Alligator mississippiensis: one gene and its partners. The protein of the gene in region 2 purifies or fractionates together with the protein of the main gene of each other region. This does not show direct contact. Links are inferred from orthologs where the notes say so. Each region holds a gene or a part of one and is shown on either strand. Other genes may lie near its edges. The genes, in order: STX5, GOSR1, STX12 and BET1L.

Region 1 (6,882 bases), on a different chromosome or scaffold from region 2:
CGAGTCCGGCGGGCATGAGAAAGTCCAGGTGCTGCTCCCTGGGTGGGGCTGGGCAGACAGGGCAAGGAGGCAGGGGAGTGGGGAGGGTGTCTCAGGCCAGGAAGACCACGAAGATGATGAAGAAGATGATGAGGATGAGGAAGATCTTGACCATGAGCCAGCGGTTGGAGGTGACAGACTGGAAGTACTTGAGGATCTCGGAGTGGGCCGCCTCCACGTTCAGCTGCGCGTCCTCCACGTTAGCGTCGATCCTGGTGAAAGGGAGACTCAGCTAAGGCTCCCCAGAGCCAGGCTTCCCCTTGCCTCCTGGAGGGGGGGCAGGCATTCACCCACCGCCTCGCCTCCCAGGGCAGCATGTGGGAGACCCCAGAACACCTGATCTCTCTAGCACACATGGACTCCATGATTAGTGGGGGACCCAGGGAGGTGCAGCATTAGGGTGGGCAGCCACGTGCCAGGGAGCATTTACCTCTGGATAGTCTCCTCCTGCTCCTTCACCATGTGTGCCAGCTGCTGGAAGATGGAGCCCAGCTCCACGATGGTGGACTCAATGTTCTGCATGGTGTCCGCCCGGCTCTGGATGTACGAGTCCTGCCAGCGGAGCAGAGTCAGCCCCTGGACCCCCTCACCCCGGAGATGCCCCCCACGACACAGTCGCCAGAGCCCCTCCCCCCAGGTACCTGCTCGTCGATGAGCTGTAGCTGCTGGCTGGTGCGGCTGTCCATGTCGATGGCCACGTCCCCCGAGGCCCGACGAGATTCGTCCTGCAGCACCGTGGAGCCGCCTGGGCAGTGGTTGATGTGGGCAGGGTCAGGGGATGCATGGGGGGCAGAACCCAGAAAATGTGCCCCACCCCCAGCACTCCAGGGTGCCCCGGTGAGAACAGGCCACCCACAGGCTTCCCTGGGCAGGCCCCCCCCAGCTCACCCAAGTTGCTGGTCGAGACAGGCGCGCGGGAGAATTGCTCTCGCCGGCTCCTCTGCTGCTTCAGATTCTGAGGGGGAGAAAGGGGGAATTAGAACAGGTGTGGGAGAGGAGGAGCAGAGGGAGCCCTCCCCTCTGGTTCTTGGGGGTAGCGGACAGGCATACTGCACACTCACCTCTGTTCTCACCTCCAGCACCGACTTGAAGTCATTGGACATTGAAGCCAGCTTAGACTGCAGGGCAGAGACCAAAAGTTGGCTGGGCCTATACTGCGCTGCGCCCCCCCCCCCGCACCAGTCCTAACGGCACCTGCTGCAACCACCCTCCACCCCCAAACTGCCGCCCGCTGGGCCTGTGCCTCACCCAAGATGCCCCTAGATTCATAGATGTTAGGGTCGGAAGAGACCTCAATAGATCATCGAGTCCGACCCCCTGCATAGGCAGGAAAGAGTGCTGGGTCTAGATGACCCCAGCTAGATACTCGTCTAACCTCCTCTTGAAGACCCCCAGGGTAGGGGAGAGCACCACCTTCCTTGGGAGCCCGTTCCAGACTTGTCAGCTGCCCCTTGTCAGCTCCCAGCCAGAACCACCCAAACCACCCCCAGTGTCCCCTCACCTGCAGGGACACCACCACGGTGTTGGAGTGGGTCTGGACATGCCGCCCGCTCAGCCCGCCCTTGGCCCGCACGAACTCCTGCAGCTGCGCGATCTGCTTGTTCAGGCTGTTGATGTCCTGGGGAAGGGGCAGTCACGCACGTCACATCTGCTGGGAGGGAAGCCCCACATGCCCCCCAACCCCAGGGCAGGGGCTTTCGGTCCCAGGGCGGTCCCCCCTCCCCGCTCACCTGCTTGATGATGTACGTCAGCTCCTCGATCTCCACCGCCTTGTCATCGAACAGGGACTTCCGCTTGGCCACTGAGGGGCGAGGGGCAGTCAGGCCACGGGGGGCTTCGGGGGCCCGAGCAGAAGACCTTCCCCCGCTCCCAGCCGCAAAACAACATCAAACCCTGGCAGCACCTCGGACAGCCCCCCCCCAACACACCGCAGACAGCCTGGCCCCCCCGCCGGACCCCACTCACGGATGGTCAGCTTCTCCAGCTTGGCGAAGGTGTTGCTGAGATCCTTGCCGATCCGCCTGGGCTCCGGGAGACAGCACGGCACAGCGAGATCAGAGGTGGTGGCGGGGGGCAGAAAAGGCTGCCTCCCCCGCCCCGCTGGACTAGTATGGGCACGACCCCCCCCCCCCATGCCAGCCCCCCGGCCCTCCTCCCCGGGGGAGCCGGGCCCCACTCACTTGGCGATGAGGGTGAACTCGCTGCGCTGGCGCACGGCGCTGGACACCGGCTTGCTGAGCTGCAGCCCGTTCTGGAGAGAGGGAGGGAGGCGGCACCTGAGCCCGAGCCCCAGCAAAGGGCAGGTCTCCCCCTGACCTGACCCGGCCCGGCCCGGCCCGGCCCCGCGCGGGACCCACCTGCCGGCTCTGCAGGGATTTGCAGGCGGAGAGGAACTCCTGGGTCCGGTCGCGGCACGACATGGCGTCCGGGGGGGGCGGGAGCGGGGCCGGGGCGGCGGGGGAGGGCAGCACCTGCGTCTGCGAGGGTCCCAGGTAGACTCCCGGTGCCGCGGTCCTAGAGCCGTGGCGTCGGCGCGTGTTCATCGAGGCTCATGTCCTGGCGGGGAGGGGGGGGGGGTTCGTTCGTGCTGGACACACGTCGCCCCCCGCCCAGGCCCCGCCGTGCCCGCGCAGCAGCCCCAGGCCGCGAGGGGGAGGTGCCCGCAGGCACGGGGGGGAACGCACTGGTGGGGCAGCGGGGGGAGCCATTTCGCGGGGACACATACGGGGCGCGTCTGCTGCTGGGAGACCCCTTCCGGGGGGGCCTTTATGGGGGCACCGCTTGGCGGGGTGAGGAGCACCCGCCGGTCCCGGAAGCCGCCGCCCCCCCCCCAGCGTCGGTGCCCGCCCCGCTTCCGGGTCTCACCGGGACGCGGCGACGATCGGGACGCGGCTGCCGGGACCCGCCGGCCGGGAGCGACGTCACTGCCACGTCCCCTCCCCCGACGTCACGCGCAGCGCACGTCGGCGTGGCCCCGCCCCCCGCGCGCTCTTAAAGGAGCCGCCAGCGCCCCCTGCTGCCGGGGAGGCCCTGCCCCGAGGCCCCAGGGCGACGCGCGCAGCACAGCGCCGTCCTGCCCCGCAGCGCCCCGCCCGCTACACGGGGTTCCCACGGCCCCGCCCCTTCGCTCTGCAGCCCCCGCGCTCTGCTCAACCAGCCCCCCCGGGCCGTGCTCGAGGGGCGCGCGCAGCCCAGCGCAGCCCCGCCCCCGGGCCCGCCGCCGCCACACACGGCGCAGGCGGAGGCCCAGGCCCAGGCAGGTTTATTGGTGCGGGCTCGGGCTCGGGGCGCGCGGCGCGGGGCTCTCGCCCTCCTCCTCCTCGCTCTGCGTGCTCCTGAGCGAGTCGCGCCGGCTGCCGAACAGGGACATGCGGCGCCAGATGACGCGGATGCGCACGTTGTCCGAGGCCTCGCGCTCCGACACCGGCCCGGGCCCCGGCGTCACGAGGCGCAGCTGCTTGGGCCGCGGCTGCCCCTGGGGGTCTGCAACGGCGGGGCGGGGCGGGGTCAGCACCTGGGGTCTCCCCACGTGCGGCCTCTGTGACGTCACCCAGCGCCCCGCCCCCTCCGGGCAGCCGAGCACCGCCCCCCGCGGGTGACTCCAGGACCCTCCCGAGCCCCGCCCCCCACCGGGATCCCCGCCCCCACGTGGCCCCGGGGGCTCCGCCCACCTGCGGCTGAGGGGGTCCTGGCCTCCGCCGCGGGGGGGCGCTGCGGGCGGGACTGAGGGCAGCCCATAGGTCCTAGGTGCCCGGAGCCCCCGCTAGGGCTGGCCCCGCCCCCGGGGCTTTGTGATGTCACGGGGGTGGCCCAGGGGAAGCCCGGCCCCGCCCCCCAAACAGCCCCAGGACACAGGGCAGAGGTTCAGCACCTTTACCTCGCTCTGCTGCACAGCAGCCAATACACGGGGCAGACCCCACCCCACCCCCCCGCACGGGGCACCTGCCCCAGCCCAGTCCGTCATCCCCCACAGGGGCGGCCCCCCCTCAGGGCCCCGCCCGGGCTCTCTTCTGCTTCTTCACAGCCCCCGCGCCTGGGTCCGCAGCCCGCTTGGGGGCAGGGTGGGTGCGCACAGTCTCCATGGCGGCCCAGAGCTCATCCTCTTCCTCCTTGACCTCTTCCGCCTTGGCTGGGTCGGGGTCTTCGTCCTGGGGGAGCAAGGAAAGGGGGGTACAGACATCAAGGTCAGGGTCTTTGTCCTTGCGGGGACTGATAGTCTCCATCCCAGAAGCTGTAAGGGTCCCCTGCCCCCCCACACCTCAGATGCCCCCTACCTGCTCCCCATCCCTGCCGTCCTGGCCCTGGGACCCCCCCCTCCGCCCCCGCCCTCCTCCACTCACCTCCCAAGCCTCTCGGCTGGTCAGCAGCAGACAATTCAGCTGAGACTTCAAGTAAACCTGCGGCCAAGGGGGCACCAAGTGAGGAAGGAGCAAACAGCGCTGGGGGGCCATAGGACAGATGCCAGCTAGGGTGCTTCGGGAGGGTGCTGGGGGGGTCCCAGCTCACCTTGTGCTGCAGGCGTTTGTCGTCCAGGCCGTGCAGGCGTAAGAAGCGGTCAAGGCCACAGGAGGCGACAAGGGGCCGGGTCGGGTGGCACTGGACCCCGCGCACAGCCCCCGCGAAGCCCTTCAGGCACTTGAGTAGCCGCCCTGGCGGAAGGGGGGAGGTAGGCAAGGGGCCGGTGAGCAGGCCTGAGACCCCCAGGGAGCAAAGCCTGGGAGACACCCCCACAGCCCTGACAGCACCCGCAGCCCCACCAGGGCTCACCTTGTCGCAGATCAATGACGGCCACGTCCCCGCGGGCACTGCCCACCACCACCGAGCTGCAGGGAGATGAGGCGTGAGCAAGGGGCCGCCTAACCCCCCTGCTCTCACCCCCAGCCCCCACCCCTCTCCCGGAGCAGGGGAGAACTCAGGTGTCTGGGGGCCCAGGCACTCACTTGGCCCCGGGGGCAAGGGAGAGGGCAGTGAGCGGGTGCTCTCCATATGTCACCTCCAGCACAGGGCGCCGCTGTGGGGAGCTGGGGTCATAGACACGCACCTAGGAGGGAGAGTAGGGGTCAGGGTGCCCTCCCCACATGGCCAGCTGCCCAGGCAGGAGGTGGGGGATGGACCAACCACAGCGTTCCTGTTATTAAAAGTAACACCCTGCCCCCAAACCTGTCCCTACAACCCCCCCTCCTTCCACAACCCCGATTTCCCTCCCACCACCCTGCTCCCACCTGGTGGTGCCCAGTGCAGGTGATGATCTTCTCAGAGCCAGGCAGGAACTGGAGGTCGCGGTCCCAGACGGGCACCCTCAGGTTCAACCAGTCGTGCCGCACCTTCCGGGGGGAAAGGAGGGGTGAGCCTGGGGGGGGGAGGGGAGTACACGTGGGTGATGCCACAGAGCCGGACAGGAGCCATGAGGAAGGGGCAGGGGTGGGGGGCTGAGGATGCCCAGGCCCAGTGGGGTGGGGGGGAGAACAGGACAGGACAGTGAGGCCAGGGCTGTCACTCACGTTCTTGGCACGGAAGATGGGCTCCTGGGGCTGCTGCAGGTCCCAGACCTTGAGAGCGTTCTCCTTCCCGCCCGTGCCCACGCACTGCGGCCGTGCCGGGTTCTGCCGCATACGGCACACGCCGGGCCCCACCTGCAGCTCTGCCTGGCAAGGTGGGGGGAGGACAAGCACAGGAGAGATGTTACCCAGGGGGCCACCCTACATCCCCCCCAGCCTTGACGGGCACTGGAGACGGGGTGTGATGTGGTGTGTCCCCACCCCCAGCTCACATCCCCTCCCAGGGGCACCGGTCAGGCTCTGCCCCTCCCTGCCAAAGCAGCCAGGAACCAGCCCTGGACACTCAGAAACTGGGCGGGGGGAATGGGACAAGGCACCCCCCCAGTTTCCCATGGGACCCCTCCCCCAGCCCGGCCTGCTTCCTGCCAAAGACTCACAGCCTCAGAAGAGTCCTCGTGCCAGACTTTGAGAAGCCCGGACTCCACGCAGGTGATGAGGGAGCTGCCGGGGCCAGGAGATGGAGGCAGACACGGACACAGACAGACGTACACACAGACACAGAGAATCTCGCTAAGAGCAGCTGCAAACGCCAGGAGGCCCCAGGAGCGAGGGACAAAACCGGCAGGGGGAGAACGGTGCCCAGGGAACCCCAGGGAGGGCGGAAACATCTAACCCCTTTCAAGGGCCCAGGCTGCCCCATGGGGAAGGGAGCAGACGGACCCCTGCCTGGGCTCTGGCAGGGAGAGGAGACGGGTGCCTGGGACGCAAGGCACGGAGGAAGCCGTGCAGCAAACTACTGCCCCTCGGATCCAAGGAGGGGGGAGGACGGGGCTGGACAGACGCCAGGCCTTGGGGGATTAAACCACAGCCCCCCACCGGGCCAGCAGAAGGAAGGGGGAGGCTCGGACACCGTACCCGTCCTGCACAGCCAGGCCACGGAAGGGCCCCTCCCCGCCAGGGCACAGCCGCGACTCCGTGAACTTCCCCTTCTCGGTGCTGAACAGCTTCACCGACCGGTCCAGACAGCCCACCAGGATCTGGGCCGGGGGAGGGGGAAGCACCGTCACGCAAAGCTCCTGCAGACCCCCCTCCCCACCCCCCGGGGCCTGACCGGCCGGCTCCAGCCGGCCCCTCACCTCCGACTCGAGGGGGTCCCCCCAGCACATGGCGCAGACGCCCTCATCCCGCCGCAGCGCCCCCGACGCCGTGTAGTTCGTGGCCTGTTTCTTCTGCAGGTTCACGCCTGGGGGGGCAGGAGATGAAAAAGAAGGACGGGGTTCAGATGGGGGGGCACAGCTTGGGAGGAACCAGTCGGGGGGGAGCAAAAGGGGTGTCACAAGTAGAA
Region 2 (7,451 bases):
AAACGGTTTTTGTTCAGTGGGTGTGCACTGCAATCTCATTTCATCAAATGCACTTTCTACATCCTACACAGGAACATATGACTGTTACATCTATTAACATCAAGGCCTTCAAATCCCTGTTAGGTATTCAAAAAAGAAAAAAAGTCTCTCCATTACCCTTCCCAGGAGCTGCTCGATCTCCACAGCCATGGTTTCAAACATTCTGTCTTGGCTTGATCCGTTTAAGAGAGGAGTTGTGTCAGAACTAAGGGGAAAGAAAACAGCAGCAATTACTGGAAGGCCCATCTTTTTGTGAACACTCAAAGTGCCAATACTGGGCATAGGTACAAGGGCGATTATATTTTCTAACTAGGCTTCTTCAAATGAGAAATTACATTTAGAAAAAGATGATATATTTTTTCTCATATGAACTGTGTCACTAGTCCATTACTGCAGTCAAGAGTATACAGGACCTTGGAACAGAAACCCCCCAAAGAAGCCTACACCCTTCTGGAAGCTAATGCCTGGCACAGAAACGTACTGTAGATCAGGTCAGAAATCATTCTGTCTTCACACTTAATGGTTTCCCCCTCCACATTTTTTTTTTGCTCAATTCCAGGTTTGCAAGGAAGTGTGTTACAATAATTAGGTAAAGATACACTAGTAATAGAAATGTTAGGTTCCCCCTGCTGACAGACCTTACACAAAGTTAACATGCTGCACAAGAAAAACCGAGCTACGTGACAGGGATTTCTCTACATAGTCCCACCTCCCCTCTCCTTGTCAAAAAGTTAAGACCACAACGCAAACGACACAAAGCGAGAGGACAGAAGTGAACAGGCAACACCAAGATACAGAAGAGTAACAGCATCCATCTTTTTAGCAATACTCTTCACTCCAGTTATTGATATAAGAGGAGGAAGGAAAACTGGTTCTCATGCTGTCTCCTGGCATTGTCCCAAGGAGGCAGAGATCAGTGTAATGTGCAAGGTACTCTGGAGTACTGTCTGGAGCAGAGCGAAAGAACTGCTCCAGTAAGATATGAGCAGGGTGCGTTTCCAGGGGTGGAATCTCAATCTGCTAAAACAAATACCAGGCACTGGGAAAGGGAACTGAAACAGACTAGATGAAATCAACAGTACTGGTGCTTCTCTTCTCTGCGGGGGAAAGGGGACCAACATTAACAAAGCCTTGGCAGTCCTGCATGGCTCACGCCTGTTCTTCCGTGTCTGAGCTCTAATATTTATATTTCAGAAGCAGTGACAAATGTCATCCAGGGATCAGAGTCCAACTGTATTTGGTGCTACATATATGCATATGTCATAAACTGCCTGCCCCAGACAGCTCACAGTCTCAACCTGTGACAAGCCACTCATGGGCACAAGGCTACCAGAGAAGCACGGGGGACAGGGTGACAGCAGGATGTTCACACTAAGCATCAGTGGCGGACACGAGATGCTGGTATTTCAGAAAGAAGGTGCCGTCAGGTGAGGATCTCTCTAACTCCAGGCCTGGGGTGAGTTCCAGAACAACCCCACTGCAAGAGGCTCACAGTGAACACGCACTGACTGACAAGGGGAAGGCTGCATCATTGGTAAGGTTAACATTTTGGAACCAAAGACAGAAAATTACCTGGCCCACAAGGTGGGGAGGACTTGTAAATGTAATCTCTTTTAACCTGCCATCAGCAGGTTAAAAGCTTTTCCTTTTTTAAAAACAATTTGGTTCTCAGTGTTAATCCTGGAGGAAAACTCAAAACAGCTCCAGCTGCTGCAGTCAGAGCAGGGGGTTGGAGGAACCTCTCCAGTTCTATTCCCTGCTGTCCCACTCACTCTCTGAGCATCCTTGGAGAGCCCTAGCAGCTTTGGGCCACGATTTCCTCGTGTCTGAAATGGGGAGCGTGCAGTGACCCTGCCCACGTGGAGGGTTGTGAAGTGCCTGGCAAGCGCTTGCAGGTCTTAAGACTGAAGGCCATAAAGAGTTGCAATGTATTAACTGGTGCATATGCACCTTGCGATGGACTGCGCAATGCAAGCTGCACCAAGCAGGCTAGGTCTCATACCCATCCACATGCTGCCGACATCACCACAAATAGAAGCTTAATTGCTGTTCTACCTAATGACAGCACCAGAGATGCTCCAACATGACCACGCACTGCCCCCCAGCCCCACACAACATGCCCATTCAACATCACACCCGGATGGTAGTGCAAAGCAAGAACTATTCTACCGAGCAGTTTGGGAAACTGAGCACGAAACCACAAAGGAAGTCTGAGATTAAACCAAGCCCCGGATCAGCCAAGAGCAGTGGAAGCAGCCTTCTTTAGCAAATAAACAGTAAGAAGTCTGGTAGTACCTATACCTGTCGCGTCTTCCCTCTCGGGCACTGCTGTGGCTATAGCTCGTGCATAGTTTGCTGAAGGAGACCAGCTTCAGGTCGAGCTCATTCTCTAGCTGCCTGGCCTGTTTCCTGAGATCTGGAAAAACAATGGTAAGAAGCAATAAATGGACAAACAGGTCACTGCCTGGCCCAACACACTTGGGTTTAGCTTTGGCAAGGTTTAGGTGCGTAGCCTAAAGAGGAGGAAACTAGAGTAGAAGACGGCATAATTCAAAAGAAGAATCAGGTCGAGATCAATTACAAAGGAAACAAAAATCTCTCGATGTACGCACAAGTCCAGCACACTCGATCACCGCTGAGCAGATCAGCAGCCCAGAGGTCCAGCAGGATGGGAACCGTCTCTCCTAATCGCATACGACTTTCTGGACGAAGTACTGGAGATGGCCGCGTTTCCAGCTTTAGGATCTGCGTGCTAGAAGCACGTCCGATTTCTGACACGGCAGTGACGATGGTACGAGCACCCAGGAACACAGAGCAACGTTCCCGTGATGGTCTCACGACTGAAAGGGCTTCCCCACCACGAAGCAACGACGCTCGGCCCTCTCCACCACAGCTGGCGTTTCGTGTGCTTGCGAGCGCCGCAAAACCAAGGCGCCGAGGGGAAACTACAACCTACCAAGACTTAACCGAGTACGTATTTCTTACAAACTTCTTCAAGGGAAGGTTTCCAAAAAACCAGGTCTGATTTAAATCAGAGTCTCACACTCTTTAATCCCTTTGGCATTTTTTAAAGTTTCCCTCCTGAAAGTCACTCGACCCATACCAACCCTCACAGCGTACGGGGTCTCGTCTCTCCTCACATGTAAGCAGCAGCCGAGGCTTCTTGAGCCACGCAACACTCTTACCAGACAAGATCCAGGTGAATAAGACAAAATTTGACCGGCTTTTTATTTTTATAGCGACCCGAACACACCTAACGTGTGTATAAGATCTTCCCCCGAGCGAACCGATCCTCCTACGGACAACCCCTCGGAGCCACACGTCTCGGGGGAACTCCTGCATGCCGGCGGGCGGGCGGGCGGGCGGGCGAGAGTCGGGCGAGCTTTCGCCTGCGACACCCTCGCCTCTTGCACAATTTGCGGCCTGTCACGGCTCCAGCGCCACGCTTACACCACCGCTCTGCTCAACGCACCCCCCGTTCCCACGCCAGCTTCCCCGCGGAGAGAAATTCAGACGTCTACCGTGCGTTTTCACGGGGCCGCTGGGGCGTGGGGCGGGCACGGGGTCGCCCCCTAGGCCTCCCCTCACACCCCAGGGCGCCCCCCGGCCTCCCCTCACAGCGGAGCACTCAGCGCCCCGTAGGCCCCAAGCCCCCCCTCGCACCTCAGAGCCCCCAACCCTCCCCTCATACCCCCAGCCCCCCCGCCCTCACCTTCCCAGTAGTTGCTGCCGCCCCCCGCCGCCATCTTTGTTGTCCGACGTCAGCCGGGGCCGGCGAGCGGCGGGCGGCGCTAGAGCGGCTCCCTTCCCGCGGCGCGGGGGCTGCCGGGATGCGCGGTCCGCCCGCCGCAGCGCCCCCGCGCGGCACCGCCTTGCCTCGCCACCCTCAGCCTCCTGCCTTGCTGCAGAGCAGGGAGCCATCCCCATCCCCATCCCGGGGTGTCCTGCCTGGCGACCCCACCCCAGCCCCGCGCGCAGAGACACCAGACAGACGTCCAAATAGTTTGATGTGCATTATTAGACCTCAGCATACACGTGAAAAAACACAAGCCCAAAAAGGCCGCCCGCCCGCCACGCTACAGCCAGCCGGACAGTAAACCCCGCCGCGAGGTCCACGCTCCAAGGCACGCTCGCTCGGCGCCAGGCCGAGCACCAGCCACGCGACGAGCAAAGGCGAAGGAGGGCTGAGGAAGGCCGCGGAGAAACCGGCCCAGGCGGCCTCGAGCCTGTGGTGCAGAGCTCCTCGAAGGGCTCGTCGACGCCTAACGAGGCTTATTGCTGGTGGGACGTGGGGGGACCATTAGGAAGCTCCAGCCTCGTCCCGGGCCTGCTGGAGGCGCGCGTTGGAAACCAGCTTTGCTGCGAGGGCCCAAGCTGTTCTCGTTTAAGGACGAAGCGGAGAGCCCGGGGTTCAGGCGGGGCACCGGCCTGCTGCGGGCCCGGGAACGCTGACAGCGCAGCCCGGGGCACAGGCCCGAGACCCACCCTCGGCGCGGCGAGGACGCCGGAGCCGGCGCCCGGTTGTAGCAAGCAGGAGAAGAGGCAATGAAAGCAGCTCTTTCAACCCTGCAGAGCCGTAGGGCGGCGGGAAGAGACCGACCCGCAGCTCCCGGGTCCTTGCACACCAGCTGCAAGCGGGAAGGTGCGTTCAAAGCGTCGCCCGATCTCTTCATCTGCAAAGCGCTGGTTTCACGCGGAGGGAAAACGATGCAGGAGGCACGTTCCAGCACGGACAAGGCCTGGGACCAGAAATCCTCCCGTTGGGGAGCGTCCCTGCAGGGTCAAGCAGGAGCCCTTGTGTGTTAAGAGGAAGCTGCTCTCTTCCCCCAGAAGAACGCAGCTCCCAGGACTCCTACTCAGCCAGGCCCGTGGCTAGGAGCTGTGCATCAGTCCCCAGCACCGGGGGCTCTGTTCTTCCCAGGGGAGGGTCTCTAGTGAAGCCTACATGGGAGCCCTGTGAAATGGAGGCATCATGCTGCCAAGACCCAGGGCCAGGAGACGAGCTGGGATACCATCAGTGGGGTACGGCTCCCGCAGGACACACCACTGCTCTCCCCCCTGCTCCAAAAGCAACGGCCAGGTCCCTGCATGCAGGCTGCCTTTGCTCCAGCTCTGCCCTATGTACCCACTGGGACGGGAGGAGCAGAAGCTGCTGCTCTCTACATCATGCATGTGGATGCATTGTGGGCCCAGGCAGGAAGAAGTGGGCACTGGTTTACGACCCCTACTCTATCCCTTTGGCAGAAGTCAGGTTCTCAACACCAGCCGGCAGCTCTTCATGTGGCAGGGCCCTGCAGGGCACGAGCACAAGGGCAGCAAAGCAGCAGGGACAGCCAGGGCAGGAAGGCAGTATGGCAGAGGTTAGAGGACCTAGCCTCCACCTTAGAAGCCACTCCCTGGCTCTTGCAATGTTCGTGCTCCTTTTCTTCCCTCTTGGCAGCAGCATCTCGTGTCATGCGAGAGCCCGACCCAGTTACTGCAAGCATGACAGAGATGAGCAGCAACACCCTGCCCGGAGAGCAGGGATGCTCAAAGGAGGTGCAAAGACTTCAGACACCAAGCACTGGGGAGGGGGCCAGCTGGTCTAGGCACACCGTCTAAACCATGACAAGGAACAGACCCAGCCACACGAAGAAGCAGAAGCATTGCTTGCTTGCAGAGAGTAGCTCCTGTTGAAACCACATGTGAGGTGCTGTCAAGAACAAAGCTGGTTTGCCCCACACAAGTCACTATCCCATGTTTGGCCCCTCTTCAACCCCCCCATCCCTCCACAGCGCAGCGAGTAGTTAGGAAAACCTCCTTGTGTGCTGCCCCTCACACTGGCTGTATGCCTAGAAACATCAGGGCTCAGGGTAGAAGCAGAGATGCCTGCGCTGGGTGTTCTGCGTTGGACAGGCACAGGAAAGAGGCCTACACATTGCAGGCGCTGGAGCCTGAGGGCGAGTCATGCCAAGATCTCCACTGCAGCAGGACATGAGTTCTGTCTCCCGGGCGGGGGGACCTGGCCAAGGGTATGCCTCGCAGTGGCCAGCTGGAATAAAGCTGACTCGGATTCACAGCAGCCTAGCATGCCCACCTGCTTGGAGTTACTTCCGCAGCAGGTGACCAGCACATTAGTAACAGGGCTGTGAAGGCTGGTGGAAAGTAACAGGCTAGCTGCATGACGGGACTCAAATGAAAGACTGGAGTGTGGGGAGGAGAGGTGGGATTGACTAAGAATGGCAGAGCTGCACAGCTACCTCCCTGCAGCTCCAGCATTAGCTTCCACTACGTTTTCTCCCCCCTTCACACAGAGCTCATGTCCGGACCCAAGCTCATCGCCCTCGGTTTCCATCACAGGTGTGATCTCATAGTAGTTTGCAGCTGGGCTCTCTCCTACCCCCCCCCACGGCGTTCCATGCCCAAGGGAAAGCAGAGCAGGCCAGTGGGAAAGGGTGAAGCAGCCAAAGCCAAATCCAGGCCGCAGCCACACATCCCTCACCAGCAGCTCCGCTGAGATCCAAGTCTGCACCAGGCTTCCCAAGATACAGTACACAGAGTGAAAAACCAAGATAAGTAGAAAAACAGCTTTGAAGCTTTGCAACTACAGAACCCGCCAGGCACCAGCGCATCTCCCCACCAGGCAAGGGAGCTGTTCAGAAGTCCTGATGCCACCACACCCCGTTAAATTACTTCTCAAGTGCTTTTGTTACATGGAACGCCAAACCTGAACCTAAAACCCAGCAGTGTCACAGGCAGGACAGGGCCTGGCACCCACTGACGTGTGCATGAGTAGGAAGGGAACAGAGGCACACAGGAGGTTGCAAACAGCCCCACAAGTCTCTGGAGATTACACGTTCTGCCAGCTAACAGCTCAGGTCTCTGAATGACAAGAGTTGCCCCCACTGCCAGGTCTGTCCATAGCGAGTCTCCTTCCCTCTCGGCCGGTATCAGTGTTTGCTAGAGTACAGTGTTTCCTCCTCAGTGTCTGTTTCATCCTGGAATTCGTGGCTCAGGAGGGATTTCTTTGAGCCAGTAGACATCATGCGAATCTCATCCTCGTAGTCATCGTGGTGCTGCCGTAGGCGGTGGAAGCCGTCCTTGTGCCTGTTGGACTTGATGGAACAGACGCACCATATGATGCAGGCTGTGAGGACCAGAGCCGACATGGTGGCACCTGCCAAAAAACAGAAGACACCCACATCAGCGCTATGCAGCACACGTCCCTCCCCACTGAAGGCTTCCAGGCCACTCCAATCACATACAGCGCAAGCTGTTGCCCAAGAGCAGAGAACTGTAGCTGCTTTCCTCACCCAGCTGTTCCCGAGGTCCTCCCTGAGCAAAGATCCAGCTATGCAGTAGCTTTAGATTCAGGATTTGTGTATCTAAGAACCGGTTTACCAGGCACCTCTCAAGACAAGGGGCAGGAACCT
Region 3 (7,526 bases), on a different chromosome or scaffold from region 2:
TGAATAGCATGGGGACAGTCTGCAAGCCTAGTTCAAGCCCCGCACACCAGGATTGGGCCCTGGGACTCTGTACTGCCCTCTCCATGCCCTGAATGCTGGGATTGGGCCCTGGGGGGTAGCACCACCCCCTCATGCCCCCACTTGCCAGGAATGGGCCCTGGGGTGCAGCACCATCCCCTCCTGCCCCTGTGCCAGAATTGGACCACCAGCACTCCCATGTGCCAGGATTAGGCCTTGGGGCCTAGCACCACTTGTGTCTGGACCTGCACACTGGGATTGGATGCCCAATCCAGCATGAAGAGCCTGGGGCTCCCCTTGGGACTGGAAATTTGGCAGCAGGATAGCAGTGCCACCACTCTCCATTGCCAAATTTCTGGTCCTGTGAGGAGCTCCATGAGGCAGATGACATGACAGCAGGGGCTGGGGGTTGAGCACCCCTGCATTAATAGATTGTTAGGGATTCAAAGAGGATGGAACAGAATTGCACTTAGGAACCTAAATTCACTTAGACACCAAAAAAGTGGAATAGAATCTGGCCTGATACTTATAACTAGAGAAAGATAAGTAAACTGAATTCCAGGGTAAAGAAAATCATTGGGCCTTTGTACATGCAATAAAATTGTCCTTTAAAGCAGCAAAATGCCCATTTGTGCCATTAATGGTGTTGCTATTTACATGTTTGGCAGCGTATTCTGTTTTAATGGCATTCCTATTTACATGTTCGGTGGCATATTCCGCTTTACATGACTTAGTTACTTAGCAAGGTAAAATACCTCCGAGGTGTTTTAGTTTGCTACCTAACAAAGTGCAACGGTGCATGGGGCACTGGAAACCACCGTGATCGGGGAAGCTCAGACTTGGTGGACTTCCAACACCCCATGCACTATCCCCGCCTCCTTCTGCTGCCACCAGCATACCCAACCACCCTCCTGCCTCCTTTCCGCTCTGCTCCGGGGCAAGCCATCCATTCCTGGGTGCTCCCAAGAGGCAAAGACGGTGCACGGGGTGCTGGAGCTTACCTGTCTCCCCCACAGTTGGGCGGGGGGGTGAGCTGCCGGTGGGCTGAGTGATCCCTGAGTTGTGGGGGACCCAGGTGCTTCCCTCTGCGGTGGTGGCATCCACCAGGCAGCACCCACCCACTGCCACCCAGCCCAGGTGGTCCCAGGGGGCACTGCTGCCATGGAGGGAAGCACCAGTCCCTGAACAGCGCAGGCCGGCAGGCTCCATTAAATAATCAGTTTATTTTTATGTTGTTATGTACACTCTTACCATTTTATGTCTTAAATTACTGAGAAAGTTAATTGTACAGGTTTCCCTTGCTTTATGCTGTACATGCATTTCTGGAAAATGGCACATAACTAGAATTCGCATAAAAGGAACCCACTTTACAATGTAGCAAATAGGGATACGTTCCAAGACCTTGACTGTACTGACCCCCAGACCCATTTCTACCATTTTTACAAGAAAATTTTGGTACTCCTCAACAGCAGACAGTACACAAGCACAGGGCACTATCATAATGGGGATGGCAACTACAGAAACACGTGTCACAGACAATGAGTGAGGATCACGGATGCACCTAGACTTTATTTTGGTGCACATCACTCCCACAGTGCAATGCACAAAGTAGTCGACTGCGAGCTTCCATCACACTGATCGCATGAGAGTGAATTTACTTCACATATAACAAATATTTGGTATAAAAAGGGTTATCGCATAAGTGCGAATTTGCACATACAGAACCTGCATAACACGAGAGAAACCTGTATTCATTAATTAATAGAATTTGATTTTTTCCTACTAAGATTTTCATAGTTCAATGATATAGGTGAGTTTGGGGCTCCACCAACATCTTTACTGTGTAAACACACCAAAATTGGTAAGCAGGTAGCCCTGGCTACATTTGCAACCCACACCAGTTTTGATATACTGAACTTGCACAAATCAAAGAAGTTTAAATGCTTTCCCAAGATTAGACTAATACATCAGGGTTTGCAGTTTGAAGTCAAGAAGGCTTATGCTCCAAAGTCTGAAATCACTAAGTGCTGGTGCCTAAATACACACTTGGCTTATGCATATAAAAAATTTCACATTTAGTCTAGAGAGGAGAAGACTGAGAGGGGATTTAATAGCAGCCTTCACCTACCTGAAGTGAGGTTCAACAGAGGGTGGAGCTGTACTGTTCTCAGGGATGACAGATGACAGAACAAGGAGCAATGGTCTCAAGTTGCAGCAGCGGAAGTTTAGGTTAGATATTAGGAAGAATTTTCTCACTAGGAGGGTAGTAAAACACTGGAGCAGGTTACCCAGAGAGGTGGTGCAACCTCCATCCTTTGAGGTTTTCAAGACTCATCTAGACAAAGCCATGGCTGGAATGATCTAGTTACGGACAGTCCTGCTTTGAGCATGGGGTTGGACTAGATGTGACCTCCTGAGGTCCCTTCCAATGCTAACTTTCTTTGATTCTAAGTCTTGCGTCTAGCTCTCTGTTCATGTCATGTAAATCTGAACAGTTTTTCATGACTATCATCAGGAATCTGTGTTTTCTATTTACTGTGGAAAAAGAAGGATTTTCTCCTTTAAAGGAGAAAAACATGGGAAACAGTGGGTTTCCCCTTGCAAGGGGCTGCTTGGGGTGAGGGGAGCAGGAGAAGGGCAAACACAGGAAGGGGATGCCACATGCAAGTGCATGCAGACACATGGACATGGCAGCCAGGCATCGTGGTAGCGATCAGCTCCCACAGCTAAGTCAATGGGGGGGGGCATAGGCAAGGTGTGAGGGGGCAGGGACACATAGGTGATGTGCCAGCCGGGTGGGGCATGTGCCCCCTAAGATTTGTGTACCCACAGCAGGCACAGGACTACAACCTGGTTGAACTGGCATGGGCAGGAGTTGCCTCCATGGCCCAGCGGGTGGGACCCAGCGTGGGAGTGTGGAACAGGACAGCAAGACTCATTGCTGCTGCTGCTGCCGCCACAAACCCTCCACCAGCCATGCTGCCAGCAGTGTGAGGAGTAATGTGTGGTTGGGACTGCATTGCCCTGACATCCTCCTGCCACCAGCCACTCCTGTGCTGGGCCACTGCTCTATCCAGGAGGGGACATGGGGAGAGGGGCAGCACAGGCAACCTGAGGGGAGTGGTAGTGGCAGCTGGACCATGGCAGTGGGGTAGAGCGATGGCCCAGCGCATGAGCAGGTGGCGGCAGGAGGAGGTGAGGGCAGCACTCCCACTCCCCACCCCACCTCTGATCTGTTACTCCTTGCACTGCTGGCCGTGCGGCAGTCCTGGTGGCAGCAGCAATAAGCCTCACTGTCCTGCTCTGCCCTTACGTGCTGGCAGCTCCTGCCTGTGCCAGTCTGGCCAGGCTGCAGCCCCAAGCCCCGCTGTGGGCACACAAATCTAGGAGGGGACATGCTGCCCCCCTTACCCCTCTAACAAGTTGCCTATGACATTGCCTATGGTCAGGCATCCCACCCTGTCCTACACACACACACCCCCACCGGGGGGTAGCAAGTTGGGAGAGGCAGCAGTGGGGCTGGGGGGATTCAGGGGCTGTGGTTTGGGGGTGAGGAGCACTGATGGGGCCAGGAGGCTGTGGGCTGGGAGTGAGGGGCACCAGCATATCAGGGCTGCTCAGTGCCACAAAGCAGCGGCAGGGGAGAGAGGGGGGAAGGAACAGCTGCAGCTGGACCCACATCCCGGCGAGCGAAGGGGGCAGGGAGAGCTCTGATTTTCCATGATAAAAAAAAGAAAACCAGAAGCAAATGCTAAAGTGTATAGATATTTAAAAGTCATTGTATTATGATGATGAAGGTAAGCTTCCAAATTGCTTTAAAATTGCAAATACATCAATAAAACATTGCGTTCAGCTGATACCTGTGTATACATAGCGGCCTTTCATTTTAATCACGAAAAAACAGTGATGCGTGGGTTGTAATCGGATAATTTCGGGCGTTTAAACAGAGAAAACCGGGACCCTGATTCACCACATTAGAAACTGTGTGATCGAGTGACTAGTTTTCGATTGAAGTCAGTCAAGGCTATTCACGTGCCCGGAGCTGCAGCCGCCGACGTGTTTGCAGAATCGGGGCCTGCACCCGCCCCCTCCTCGCTCGGCCTGTAACAGGCTTGTGCGATTCCGCGGAGCCTTGTCCCAGCGACAGACACTGAGCTTGGCCTCCACAGCTACCATGCCATTTCAGATGAGTTTGAGGCTAGTGCAGATAGAAATGTATGATTTAAAGGAGCGAAAGCAGCGGTGGCAGTCGAGCTGACAGTCACGTAATCAGGACAGGCAATGCAGTGCAGTACTGACACCATCGCGATTGTGGACGCGGGGTCAGTGGCGGGAGATGAGGCCGAGGCGCCGCGCGGGGCCGGAGCGCAAGAGAACACGTGCGCGGCGCCGCGCGTCCCTCGTTGCCATGGTCCCCGCCGCTTCCGGCGCGTAGGCGTTGGCGGCGGGGGCGGGGCCCAGCCGGGTTGGCTTCCCTCACGGCGCATGCGCGTGGCACCGCGGCGCTGTCCCGGCTCCGGCCCGATTGATCCCGCGGCCGCAGCTCGTCCGGCGCCGCCATGTCGGGCCCGCGCGCCCCCCGCCCCGCGCCGGGGCCGCCCCGCGACTTCGGCGGCATCATCCAGACCTGCAGCGCCAACGTGCAGCGCATCGCGCAATGCAGTGAGTGCCCCCCCCCCCGGGCTTCCTGGCCTCAGGGTCCGCCCCACCCCTCAGGCCCGGGCCGCCCCGCGCAGGTGGGGCCAGGGAGGAGCCGGCCCCGGGTCAGATCGGGCAGTTGTGCGAGGGGGGCGCGGTCCTCCTCCTTGGGTGTCTCCGGTGTTCGTCATTACGGTGGTTTCCTGGTTTTGCAGCGTGTCCGTGTCCCCAGCGCTCTTGTTCCCTTTCATTAGCCTGTCCGTTAGGGGGGTGCTCCACTGCCATCCGCACGCCACCATCATGTTTCGTGGATGCCTCTGTTGCCTGCCCCCTTTGTGTGCTGACAGGGACCCTGGTGCACGCCCACCTGGCCCAGCCTCTTATTGAGGTTCCCCGCACCTTTTTATTTAGGCACTCTCTGTCTGTGGCCCCACCCAGTCCCAGGACCTCCTGGTCAACCTCCTCCTGCCCAAGCTGGCCACGTGCTTGACCAGGAAGGAGGCTGTGGCTGGGAGGGCCCGTCTCCTTTCCCTCATCCGTTCCCCAGAGTACCCCTGAGCAGCGTCCACTGGCTCCTTGAGGGCCAGTGGGCACTGTCCGGTGCGCTGTGCTCGGTGTCCCCACTGGACACACTTAATATGAATCTCTCACCTGAACTCCTGTCTCTGTTTTTTTCATTCTTTGTTCCACCTGTTCCATTCTGTTGTCACCTTTCTTGTGGCCTCCCCACCTCAGGGAGGCCGATGAGCAACCTGGTGGGCTAGGCCCATGTTTTCTTTTAGAGACGAACAAGTAGTTCTGCTGTTAGAGGGGCCACTGTTTCTGCTTGGGCCAGGTCCACAGCTCCCGGTGCACAACGAATAGGCCTGCCCGTGCAGTGGCAGGAAATTGTCAGTGCCCCACTGTGGCCACTTAGGGTGTTCTTGGGGGTTTTGTGTGTAGTTGTTTATGCAGTTTTTAAGCACAGTTTACACAGACACTTTTGTAGGATAGGTTAAATAAGGACGATCATACCTTGATCGGGGGGTTGACCAGACCTCCTGAGAGTTCTTCCAGCCCTACTTCTATGGTTCTTTTTTCCCCTTGTTTTCATGTTATCTTCTTTGCCTTTCCTGACCTTTTTGACTTGGAGCTGCCTTTCTTTCGTGTCATGCCATCTGTCTCTACTTGCATCTCTCCTTTGAGTGTGCTTTCCCTATGCGGCTTTCAGTACTACCCCAGTGCACAAAGCAATGCAGCTAGACTTCATATTATTTTGAGACCAGTGATATTTCTAAACTGTGTTATCTGTCCCATTTGGCTTGTAAGCTCTGTGGGTGCTCTTTTTAAACAGCTCTTTGATCTCTCCTGTAGCAAGTAGCAGCTGCCTTCTTTGACTGTAGGAACAGGCAGTCCATTATGGAAGAAAATGCTTAATGGTGAACCTAATTTGTAACGTCACAAGCAGAAATTCCAGATTCTCTCTCTGGAATGGGAAAGGGGAGCAGCTGCCTGAATGGGTAGCTAATAGACAGGATGCCAGATGTTGAACACATAAGATCATGGTGATTTTGTGGGGAATAATGTACACCATAACACAAAGACTCTCATTCTCAAACCCCTATGGTTGCTCATTTATGAAGTAAAGTGTAAAAAAAAAAAAAAAAAATTGCATCTATTCATGAGCTCACCAAATCTCTAAAATCTGGCATTTATTGGATTCTAGCAGGGCAGAATCCAGAGATGTGGGTTTTTCAGAAAATTTTGAAATGGAAAATTTTCCAATGCCTAAATAGATCATGGTCTGATTTTAGCATGTTTATTTGACTTGTATTTAGTAAACAGAACTAAAAAAGTACCCCCATGTTAATTTTATGTCCCAATAGCCACAAGTATTTGAACTGAAATATTTGATTAGGAAAACAAATAAATTCAGCACACTTAATGTGGTTTAAATGTTATATTCAAACAAATTCAAAGCTTTATGTGGAAAGAGATTATTTTTATTGGAATACTTGTAAACATGTAAAGACAATACACAATAGCATGGATTTCCCTTACATCATTTTTTTTCTTAAATTTAAACAAACAAAGGCACTGAAAACTGTTGACGCACTAATTTTAGCACACCCAAAGAACTGTGCAGGATATGCCGTAGTTGTCCATTCATCTACTTCAGCAGAGTTTAATTCTCTTCCACTGAGGTAATTGTGACTCCTCCAGTTTCATTCTCACTATCTGTAGAATCACTTGCACTACTTACACTACTTATTGAGGCAAATCTGTTTCAGAACTACTTGAACCACATTTCTTTTTCTAAAGGGTGGTTTTACCAATGAGTCTATGGGCAAGGATGACTTCTCACGCTACGTCTTCTTCACTAATTGTGCTTCTGACTGATTCTGCAGAAGCAGAAGATTTTGAGAAATAGAAACAAGCTTAGCAGTGCATTCGTTTGTTAGTGTATTCCTCTTTTTTTGTCTTGATTGAGCAAAAGCCTTCCAGTTCCGTTCACAAAAAGCTGCTGTTGGTGGAATGGTTAGGATCCTTAGAGCAATGGTGGACAGCAGTCTAGTGTTACAGTATCCCTTCCACCATGTGATAGGAGATGTATTCTCTGCTGCCTGCCAAGTGATGTTTTTGCTCCAAAGTTTTTCTTTTGCACGGTACTTAGCCATGATGACAGACATTGCCATTTCGTTGATGTTGGGGGCATTCTTTGCTACTTCCATAATTGTATCGAGAGCAGTAGATAATTCATTTTTAGATAAATGCTGTCCTCTGTGTTGAGGATCCAAAAGGTTTGCTGCCAGATGAACTGGATGAGAGCAAAACTCAGATCTCTTAGTAAACATTTGTTTTACTACTACTTACTCTTTTGTATAGAGGTG
Region 4 (7,648 bases), on a different chromosome or scaffold from region 2:
CAGGGTTCAAACCCCTAAGAAAACAGACCTATTTGTCACCTTTAGTCCCCTAAGAAAACAGGAGGAGGCTTGGTTTCCTGCTCCTCCTTTTGACCAGCATCCTACTGAGATTCACTCATGTGCTTAGCTTTACATCTGGGAGCAATCCCATTAAGAGGAACTGAAAATACTCCTGGTGGCAAAGCTCCTCTGCGGAAGCCTTTGTGGGATCACAGCATTAGTGAATAATTATAGAGATGTGGCTTTCTATTTTCCTGTGAAGCAAGTCCTTGCTGATCGCTTGAAAAAAGGGACAAAATGGAGACGATTTCAGGCAAGCAGGGACCCTGCAGAGAGAATCTACATGGAAGTGTGGCAGAGGCTGCAACAAACTGCTGGATTTTAAGGCCACCTCTGCTGGGATTTTAAGGGGCCAAGGGGACAGAGATGTCTGACTGCCATGAGCCATCCGAGGGAGAAAAGATGAGCGAGTTACCTTCTCTTTAGCTGCGCTGGCTCAGGTTTCCTGCTTCATTTCCTGGACACTGCTGCTGCCCCTAGCCCTCCCCAGCTCTCAGCCAGAGGAGGCAGGGAGGGGTGGCTGGAAGCTGGGTGGAGACCCAGGCAAAGGGAAGAGCTGCTTTACCTGGAGGCTTGGGGTTGTGGGACAGGGCAGAGATCACCCACCAGCCTGCCAACCATACAAGCAATCAGGAGCCTTGTCAGGGGTTGAGGCTGTTTCCCGCCCCGCACTATGAGCAAGAGGAATATAAAAAAAACATGAGCACTGTGCAAAATGCAAGGGGCGGATCCTGCTGCCTGCCAGGGGAGGGCTGGTCTCAGTGGTGGCAGATGACAGGACAAGGAGCAATGTGCTCAAGTTGCAGCAAGGGAAGTTCAGGTTTGATATTAGGAAAAGCTTTCTCCTGAGGAGGATAATAAAACACTGGAACAGGTCACCCAGAGAGGTGGCAGACTCTTCATCCTTGGAGGTTTTTAAAACTCAGCTGGACAAAGACTTGCTGGGATGATGTAGTTGGGGCTGGTCCTGGTCTGAGCAGGGGGCTGGACTAGATCAGCATTCCTCAACCCGTGGGTCACAAGAATATATGAAAGGGGCACAAACCAACTTGGAAAATGGATCAAGAAACTTTAAAAATGGATTCTTCCTTATAGGAAAAAAACATGGGAAACCAGGGTTTTTCCCTTGCAGGCTGGCAGAGCTCCAGCCTGCCAGGGGCTGCTTGGGGCCTCCACTGCCTCACACTCTGAGGGGCTAGGGCCTGGGGGCAGCGGGTCCGGAGTGAATCCAGACTGGCCATCAATGTTTACAAATGGGTCCTGGTACAAAAAAAAGTTGAGAACCACTGAACTAAATGACCTCTTGAGGTCCTTTCCAACCCTCATTTTTTAGGAATCCCTACAATAGTGGTTCTCAACCTTGTTTCAGACTCAAGGCACCCTCATGAGACTCAAGGCAACCCTTGGAAAATGCCAGCTTTTCATTATCACTCGTGTTTCTGCTACAGAAAAAAAGAATCAAGCCGTTCTGCTGCTGCAAAGAACGCAGCAAGGCCACAGGCCTGAGATAGGGTCCTAGGATAGCCAGAAGTTTGGGTGTTTACACCCATGATTTTCAACCAAGATGCCATGGCACCCAGGGATGCCTTGAGGTCCTTTCAGGGGTGCCACACAATGTTGTCCCTGTTGAGTGTGCTAATGGGATTCACAAAATAAACCCAGAGATGTCAGGAAAGGAATCCATGGTGTTAAAAGCATTCAGACCTGGAATGGCCTGCATAAGTTCTTTGCAACAGAATTGCTCTACTTTTTTTCTGTAGTCTAAACATGAGTGAAAAATAAGAGCTGGCCTTTCCTGATGGGCTGCCTCCAGCCTGTAAGAACATAAGAATTGCCATTGACTGTATCAGACTATAGGTCCATCTTGGCCGGGGATCCTTTATCACACAGAGGCTCTGGCCAGGGAGACCATCCACATCTCCAGGCAGAGTTTCACTGGGAGGTGTTCACTGGCTCCTTGGACTTGACTGGGGACCAGTGGGCACTGTCCCGTGTGCTCTGCATGATGTCTACCCTTGGTGCATTTGTTTTGAACCTATGACCTTTACTCTGTCCCTGCTTCTTTTGTTTTCTCAAGTAATCAGTTGACACATGTGAACCTAAGGCCCATGTCCCCAATAGGTGTTAAATAGGCCTGTATCACACAGAGACTCTGGCTGGGCAGCCCCTGGGGACTGTGGGGCCACTTTCCTGTCCCTGGTCTGTTCATGTCTCTGGGCAGAGTTTCACTGGGCAGTGTCCACTGCCTCCTTGGACTTGAGGGCCAGTGGGCACTGTCCCGCATACTCTGCTCAGCCTGTCCCCCTTGGTGCACTCGTTTTGAACCTGTGACCTTCACTCCTGTCCTTGTTTTGTATTTTTTTTTGTCCCATGAATTCAGCTGATGCATACCCAATAGCTCCCTCTATTATTAAGGGGAGGTAATTGTTGATCTGTGGGCATAAGGGCCATGTTCCCAACATGTGTCAAATAGGCCTGTCACACAGAGGCTCTGGCTGGGGGCCCCCCGGGGACTGCAGGGCCATTTTCCTGTGCCTGGTCCATTCATGTCTCCAGACAAAGTTTCACTTGGCAGTGTCCACTAGCTCCCTGGACTTATTCAGTGGGCACTGTCCAGTGTACTCTGCTCAGTGTCCCCCTCCTTGGTGTACTCATTTTGAACCTCTGACCTCACTCCCAGTCCTGTTTTGTCTTTAGTTGTCCCCTGAAATCAACTGACATATACCCAATTGCCCCCTCTAATAACAGGGGGCATAGCCTGCAGAACGAGGTGGGCCACCTGGGCCACAGCCTGACCAACTTGTAGCACATCAATTTATATAACCCACAAATGCGCAATTGCCATTCCGGTTAAAACTGTATAGCTATTTTTTTAACTGCATAGCTAGTTAAGTTAACGTGCTAAATGTTGGTCAGGCCATGGCCTGGGTGCCCCACCCTGTTCCGCGGCTTATGCGGGGAGAGTAACTATTGCTTTGTGGTAAAGTGCACGTTAACCCTATGTGTCAAATAGGCCTGTGTCACACAGCGGCAGAAAATGGATACTGAAAGGGAGAGTAAACAAGACAAGACCAGGGTTGGTTTTTATTCACTTTCTTCCATCACTTGCAACCTCTAGCATTTAAGGTCCAGGAACTTTGAATTCAGAGGCTGGACCCTTAACTCCTGTGCTCAATAGATACTGATGCCCTTTTTCCCCAAGAATTTGTCCAGTCCAATAATTCTAATTCCAGTCCCTATGGAGACTGCCTTGAGACTATGGAGGGGTGCCTCAAACCTAAAAAGGTTGAGAAGCACTAGTCTATCCCAACCGCGCACAGATGGCCCGATAAAAGAATCGCCCACAAGAATTCCTGCCTCTCACAGCAGGTGTGATGGCTCTTGCTGCTATGTATTCCTCTTTGAAGTCGCTGGGTCTACCCTGTGCATCGTATTGTGTGGCACGGTTAAAAAGGATCTCGGGTGCCATGGCCCCGCCTGAGAGTCACTGCTATAGAGGGGAGAAAAAAGGAAGTCAAACTGCGGCTGGACAAGCGTGCCCTTTGTGTCTGGCAGTGCTGGAGGGATGCTGCAGCCCTGATGTCCCAGGAAACCTGCCAGAGAGGCGAGGGGCTTTTATGAGTGGTGTCTTAGGAAATGTGGGCTGGAAGGGACCTCAGGAGGTCATCTAGTCCAACCCCTGCTCAAAGCAGGACCATCCCCAACTACATCTTCCCAGCCAAGGCTTTGTCTAGCTGGGTCCTAAAAACGTCCAAGGATGGAGAGGCCACCACCTCTGGAAGACCTGTTTTTTTAAAGAAATGTTTCATGTTCCCAGTCAAATCAAGTCCAAATCCCGGAGTCAGCCCAGAACCATACTGGCCCTACAGCCCGCAAACATCCTCCACCTCACCAGAGGCTGCAGATGTTTCCAAAATCCTTTAGCAGGTGTCCTAGGTGCGGGCCCAAGCGGTTCAGATGCCGCCGACTTTCGCCCCGCCTCAGCCGTGTGGCCGCAGGAGCGAGCTAGAGAGCGGCTGCCGTTTGCATCAAGTGGGCTTGAAGCCCCGACGCCGGGGCGGGCACCAGAAGAGCAGGTTTGCCCGGGAGCGCTTGAGGAACCCTGCCTTCCTGGACGCAGATACACGGCGTTTCCTTGCCAGGCGACCTGCTCCTTTACTGTGCTCCCTTCCTAGCGTGAGCGGGGTTTATTTCCCCCTAACAGCTTAATCTGCCCTTGCTGCAACTGGAGACCCCGGCTGCTGCCGCTCGGAGGGAGGGAGGGAGGAAGCCGGCCGCAGGCCAGTGTCTCCGGCCCCTGTGCCCCGGGCTCTCTCCAGGCGGCGCGGGGGCGGGGCAAGGAGCGGCGGTGGCTCCGCCCGCAGCAGCCGGGGCGGGGCCGGCCACGGAGACGGGCCGCGGCCATGGCGGAGTGGGGGCGCGGTGAGCGGGGCCGCGGGGCGCTCAGCTCGGATCCCTGCCGGGGGCTCGGGCGTGGGTCGTGCGGTTGCATGCTGGGGGTGTCCCTGGGGCTGCCCGTGACTGGGGCGGTGGGGGGGCGCACATGCGGCTGTTTGGTTGGGGGAGGTTTTGCTTTGCCAGCCCCGGCCCGGGGATGGGGGGATGCCTCCTCTTCCTCCGACCCCGTGTGCTGTGTGCCTGCCCTCCCACCGCGCTCACCTGCCTGGCCGGGGCTTGCTTGGGCTGCTGGCAGGTCAGAGGCTGGCGCTAGGTGCCTTTCATGCCTGCCAGTGCTGCCCAGGTGCTAGGAGTACGTCTCTGTTTTTGTATCGCTTGGAGGGGCAGGTATTAGGCGGGAGATGTTTTCAACCTGTCCCTTTGATAACTGGCTCCGTAAGAGCTGCAGGCCCCCTGCCACCCCACCCGTCCTGCAGTGACCCCCATGTCTCGGGGCATACATCTGCAGTGGGTCGGTAGCTGCTGATGCGGGTACCTTGTTACGTCCCCTCCGGCACACTAGCTGACCTGTCTTGTACACACTGTAGATGGTCGTGTGTCAAAGAAGAACAAATATATGTGTGTTTGTATGTGGATACACAGATACACGCACCTGTGTGTGTATGTGTGTGTGTGTATATATATATATATATATATAAAATGTACATGTGTGTCTGCATATCTAGGTATAGGTGTGCATGTGTGTGTATACACACATACACAGATAATATATCTATAAGTAATTGAATCTGAGCGCTCTCAAGCTTTGCACCTGTGTAGCTAAAGCAGGATCAGGGTTTGCATGTATGTTGGGTGTCTCGGATACATATCATACATCTGGGGTAACATTTCAGGGGTAGGAAAAACCGGTTCTTAAAATGGTACTCGGAGTCACCTAACTAACAACAAAGTGGCGGTGGCGCTGCGAACAGAAATCCCAGTTCTCTTACCAGCTGTGATGAGTTTACATGCTGATGTTTGTGTCATAACTGATAAGACTCCTCCTCTCTCTTTCAGGCCAGGGCCAGAACGGCATGGATGACATGTTGGATGTCGAGAACAAACATATGGCAGACAATCTTGCCACCAAAGTCACCAGGCTGAAATCGGTTAGTTACTAACTCCATGTGGTCCATTTTCCTTGCTGTGTTCACTGTGAGAAAGGAGCTGGTTTACACAGGGGTGATTTCTTTATTCCATGGTTTGAGAAGATGCAGGATATGATACAGCCTGTGGTGGGTTGCATAGTTAACTTTTCTAATGATGTAGCTGGGAAATTTTACCAATTTTCTCATCACCAAAATTGTCTGGTCTTAGTGGCAGCTAGAGAAGAAATTTGATATAAAAAGTAAGCGGCAGGGAGGCCAAGGCAGGTAAACATGTCAGACAAGGCGTGCCTTCTGTGGAAGAAAGTAGTTATAAAACCAGGTTAAAAATATTAATAAAAAACACACTTTCAGTTTTCCTTCAGGAGGGAGTCATGATATTTATGGTGATGATAGTCGTGGTGTATCCATGGCTATTAAAGGAGTATTCACAGTAATCATTTGCTTCCACTAATGTCAAAAGCCTCAGTTAACATATGGCTGTAATGCACAGACAACATCATTATCAGAAAACCAGAATCTGTGTTCTGTTACTGCTTCATGATAGGCATGGTCATTTCATGTACAGAAGCTTCCAACTATAGACCTTTATTTCCAATGCTGCAAAGCGCAGGAATTTATATAATCTTAAAATGTAGGCAGAATCTCCCTCCTCCCCCGTCTTCTTTTTTTCATTGCATAGAACAGACATGGCAGTGTGTAATGTGTAGGAGGCAGTGGAAGTAATGGCCTGTTTGTGTGGTTGGGGTTTCACCAGCTTCAGATATATTAGGAGTTGATCTGTTAATTTGAAGATAGTAACACTTGCATCCTTCTGTGTTTTGATTAGCTGGCACTGGATATTGACAAAGATGCTGAAGATCAAAATCACTATCTAGATGGCATGGTAAGACACTGGTGAGATGTCTAACATGTGAATGGTTTTGTGCTGACTTCAAAGAGTTTGCTCTGTAGTTCAGAAGGAAAGGTGATCAAACTCTGGCAGTTGGGTTTAACAACCCAGCACATGTCAGGTAACATGAAAACATTGTTTGGGGTTTTAAGTACATAAGCCAACAGAAACTTAAAAGCTCCCAATATTATGTTGGGCAAATACAGCCAGCATTTAATAACAGTTGACACTGATAGGGAGTAGTATAGTTCAGTAATGCAGGTAGAAATTACTTACTTACTAGGATTACAAACTGGCTCCTATGAAGATAATATAAGCCTGCCTGCCTGCCTTTGTCACTCCTGTTTAGGAGTTTTGGAAGTGTTTATAAATCTCTTGGGGGTACTTCTACAGCCTCTGAAATGCCCTGGATGTATAGAATTGGAATCAGGGTTTGTAGTGTTAATAATATCAAGTACTCTGTTCCTTTTTCTTCTCATTTTTAATTACCACGGGTATTTAAAAAACGGTGATTTTTGAGACAAAATCTGGCATGTTTCGTAAACTCTTTATTGCTGATGGAGAATCCAGGGACTTGGGGAATGGCTTGTGCAGCCAATACATGCATTTGTGGCTGGAAAATCCCCTAGCTTCACACTTGACGTTAGCAAACACAAGCAAACTTTTTTGCCTCAAGATTTCTTCCATTGCTTAATATAATGATTTTCATTCATATGATACAATTTAATTTCAAAGCATTTTATGTACTTAAAGTAATAAGCAAGCTATTTGGCCACAAGACCAGGTCTGTAGCTTAAAATGTGCCCACCAAGAATTTCTAGACTAAGAATAACTTCATGATTCAATTTGGCATTGGAATCCCTTCCTTTGATATGTTTGAGTTTGGGATTGATGTGGTCAAGCTGTTTCTGTGAGTGATTGGGAAGTGGTTGTCTGCAGGTTGGAATCTGGGTAGCTAGGGCATGTAACCCCTATAGAAGATAACCACAATATTGAAAGCAAGGCAAGATAAACCTATTCAGGCTTCAGCAGAGCTGGCATGCAGGCAGTGATGTCACGGGCAGTGTGTGGAAGGTCTAATGTATACTTGTTTTCACTGGAAATGGAGGAGAGTGGAAGGTTAGGGTGAAGGAAGAGACCATGATTACAGCAG

The links.
Region 1: the proteins of GOSR1 (region 2) and STX5 purify together in Homo sapiens (affinity purification with western blotting; 3 studies listed by BioGRID, with this or other methods). This does not show direct contact. The link is inferred for Alligator mississippiensis from reciprocal best matches to the Homo sapiens genes GOSR1 and STX5.
Region 3: the proteins of GOSR1 (region 2) and STX12 purify together in Homo sapiens (affinity purification with mass spectrometry; 3 studies listed by BioGRID and IntAct, counting the BioPlex papers as one, with this or other methods). This does not show direct contact. The link is inferred for Alligator mississippiensis from reciprocal best matches to the Homo sapiens genes GOSR1 and STX12.
Region 4: the proteins of GOSR1 (region 2) and BET1L purify together in Homo sapiens (affinity purification with western blotting; 3 studies listed by BioGRID and IntAct, with this or other methods). This does not show direct contact. The link is inferred for Alligator mississippiensis from reciprocal best matches to the Homo sapiens genes GOSR1 and BET1L.

What each region holds. Positions count from the first base shown.
Region 1 is NC_081838.1:3,271,957-3,278,838, reverse strand, and holds the start of STX5 (syntaxin-5), read right to left. Parts: upstream 3,010-6,882; 5' UTR 2,905-3,009; intron 2,874-2,904; exon of another isoform or gene 2,765-2,873; intron 2,748-2,764; exon of another isoform or gene 2,724-2,747; intron 2,596-2,723; 5' UTR 2,583-2,595; coding exon 2,397-2,582; intron 2,291-2,396; coding exon 2,220-2,290; intron 2,061-2,219; coding exon 2,005-2,060; intron 1,841-2,004; coding exon 1,770-1,840; intron 1,658-1,769; coding exon 1,541-1,657; intron 1,158-1,540; coding exon 1,101-1,157; intron 995-1,100; coding exon 928-994; intron 785-927; coding exon 681-784; intron 592-680; coding exon 470-591; intron 252-469; coding exon 92-251; 3' UTR 1-91. Other genes in the region: WDR74 (WD repeat-containing protein 74), read right to left, coding at 4,026-4,187, 4,380-4,436, 4,546-4,688, 4,807-4,862, 4,980-5,080, 5,262-5,363, 5,541-5,684, 5,975-6,038 and 2 more. UniProt on the Homo sapiens protein: Mediates endoplasmic reticulum to Golgi transport.
Region 2 is NC_081837.1:1,807,741-1,815,191, reverse strand, and holds the start of GOSR1 (Golgi SNAP receptor complex member 1), read right to left. Parts: upstream 3,001-7,451; 5' UTR 2,734-3,000; coding exon 2,652-2,733; intron 2,456-2,651; coding exon 2,335-2,455; intron 245-2,334; coding exon 157-244; intron 1-156. Other genes in the region: CPD (carboxypeptidase D), read right to left, coding at 6,969-7,195. UniProt on the Homo sapiens protein: Involved in transport from the ER to the Golgi apparatus as well as in intra-Golgi transport. It belongs to a super-family of proteins called t-SNAREs or soluble NSF (N-ethylmaleimide-sensitive factor) attachment protein receptor.
Region 3 is NC_081829.1:16,711,611-16,719,136, forward strand, and holds the start of STX12 (syntaxin-12), read left to right. Parts: upstream 1-4,519; 5' UTR 4,520-4,577; coding exon 4,578-4,680; intron 4,681-6,616; exon of another isoform or gene 6,617-7,526. UniProt on the Homo sapiens protein: SNARE promoting fusion of transport vesicles with target membranes. Together with SNARE STX6, promotes movement of vesicles from endosomes to the cell membrane, and may therefore function in the endocytic recycling pathway.
Region 4 is NC_081825.1:179,400,880-179,408,527, reverse strand, and holds the start of BET1L (BET1-like protein), read left to right. Parts: upstream 1-4,647; 5' UTR 4,648-4,662; coding exon 4,663-4,810; intron 4,811-5,514; coding exon 5,515-5,606; intron 5,607-6,432; coding exon 6,433-6,489; intron 6,490-7,648. UniProt on the Homo sapiens protein: Vesicle SNARE required for targeting and fusion of retrograde transport vesicles with the Golgi complex. Required for the integrity of the Golgi complex.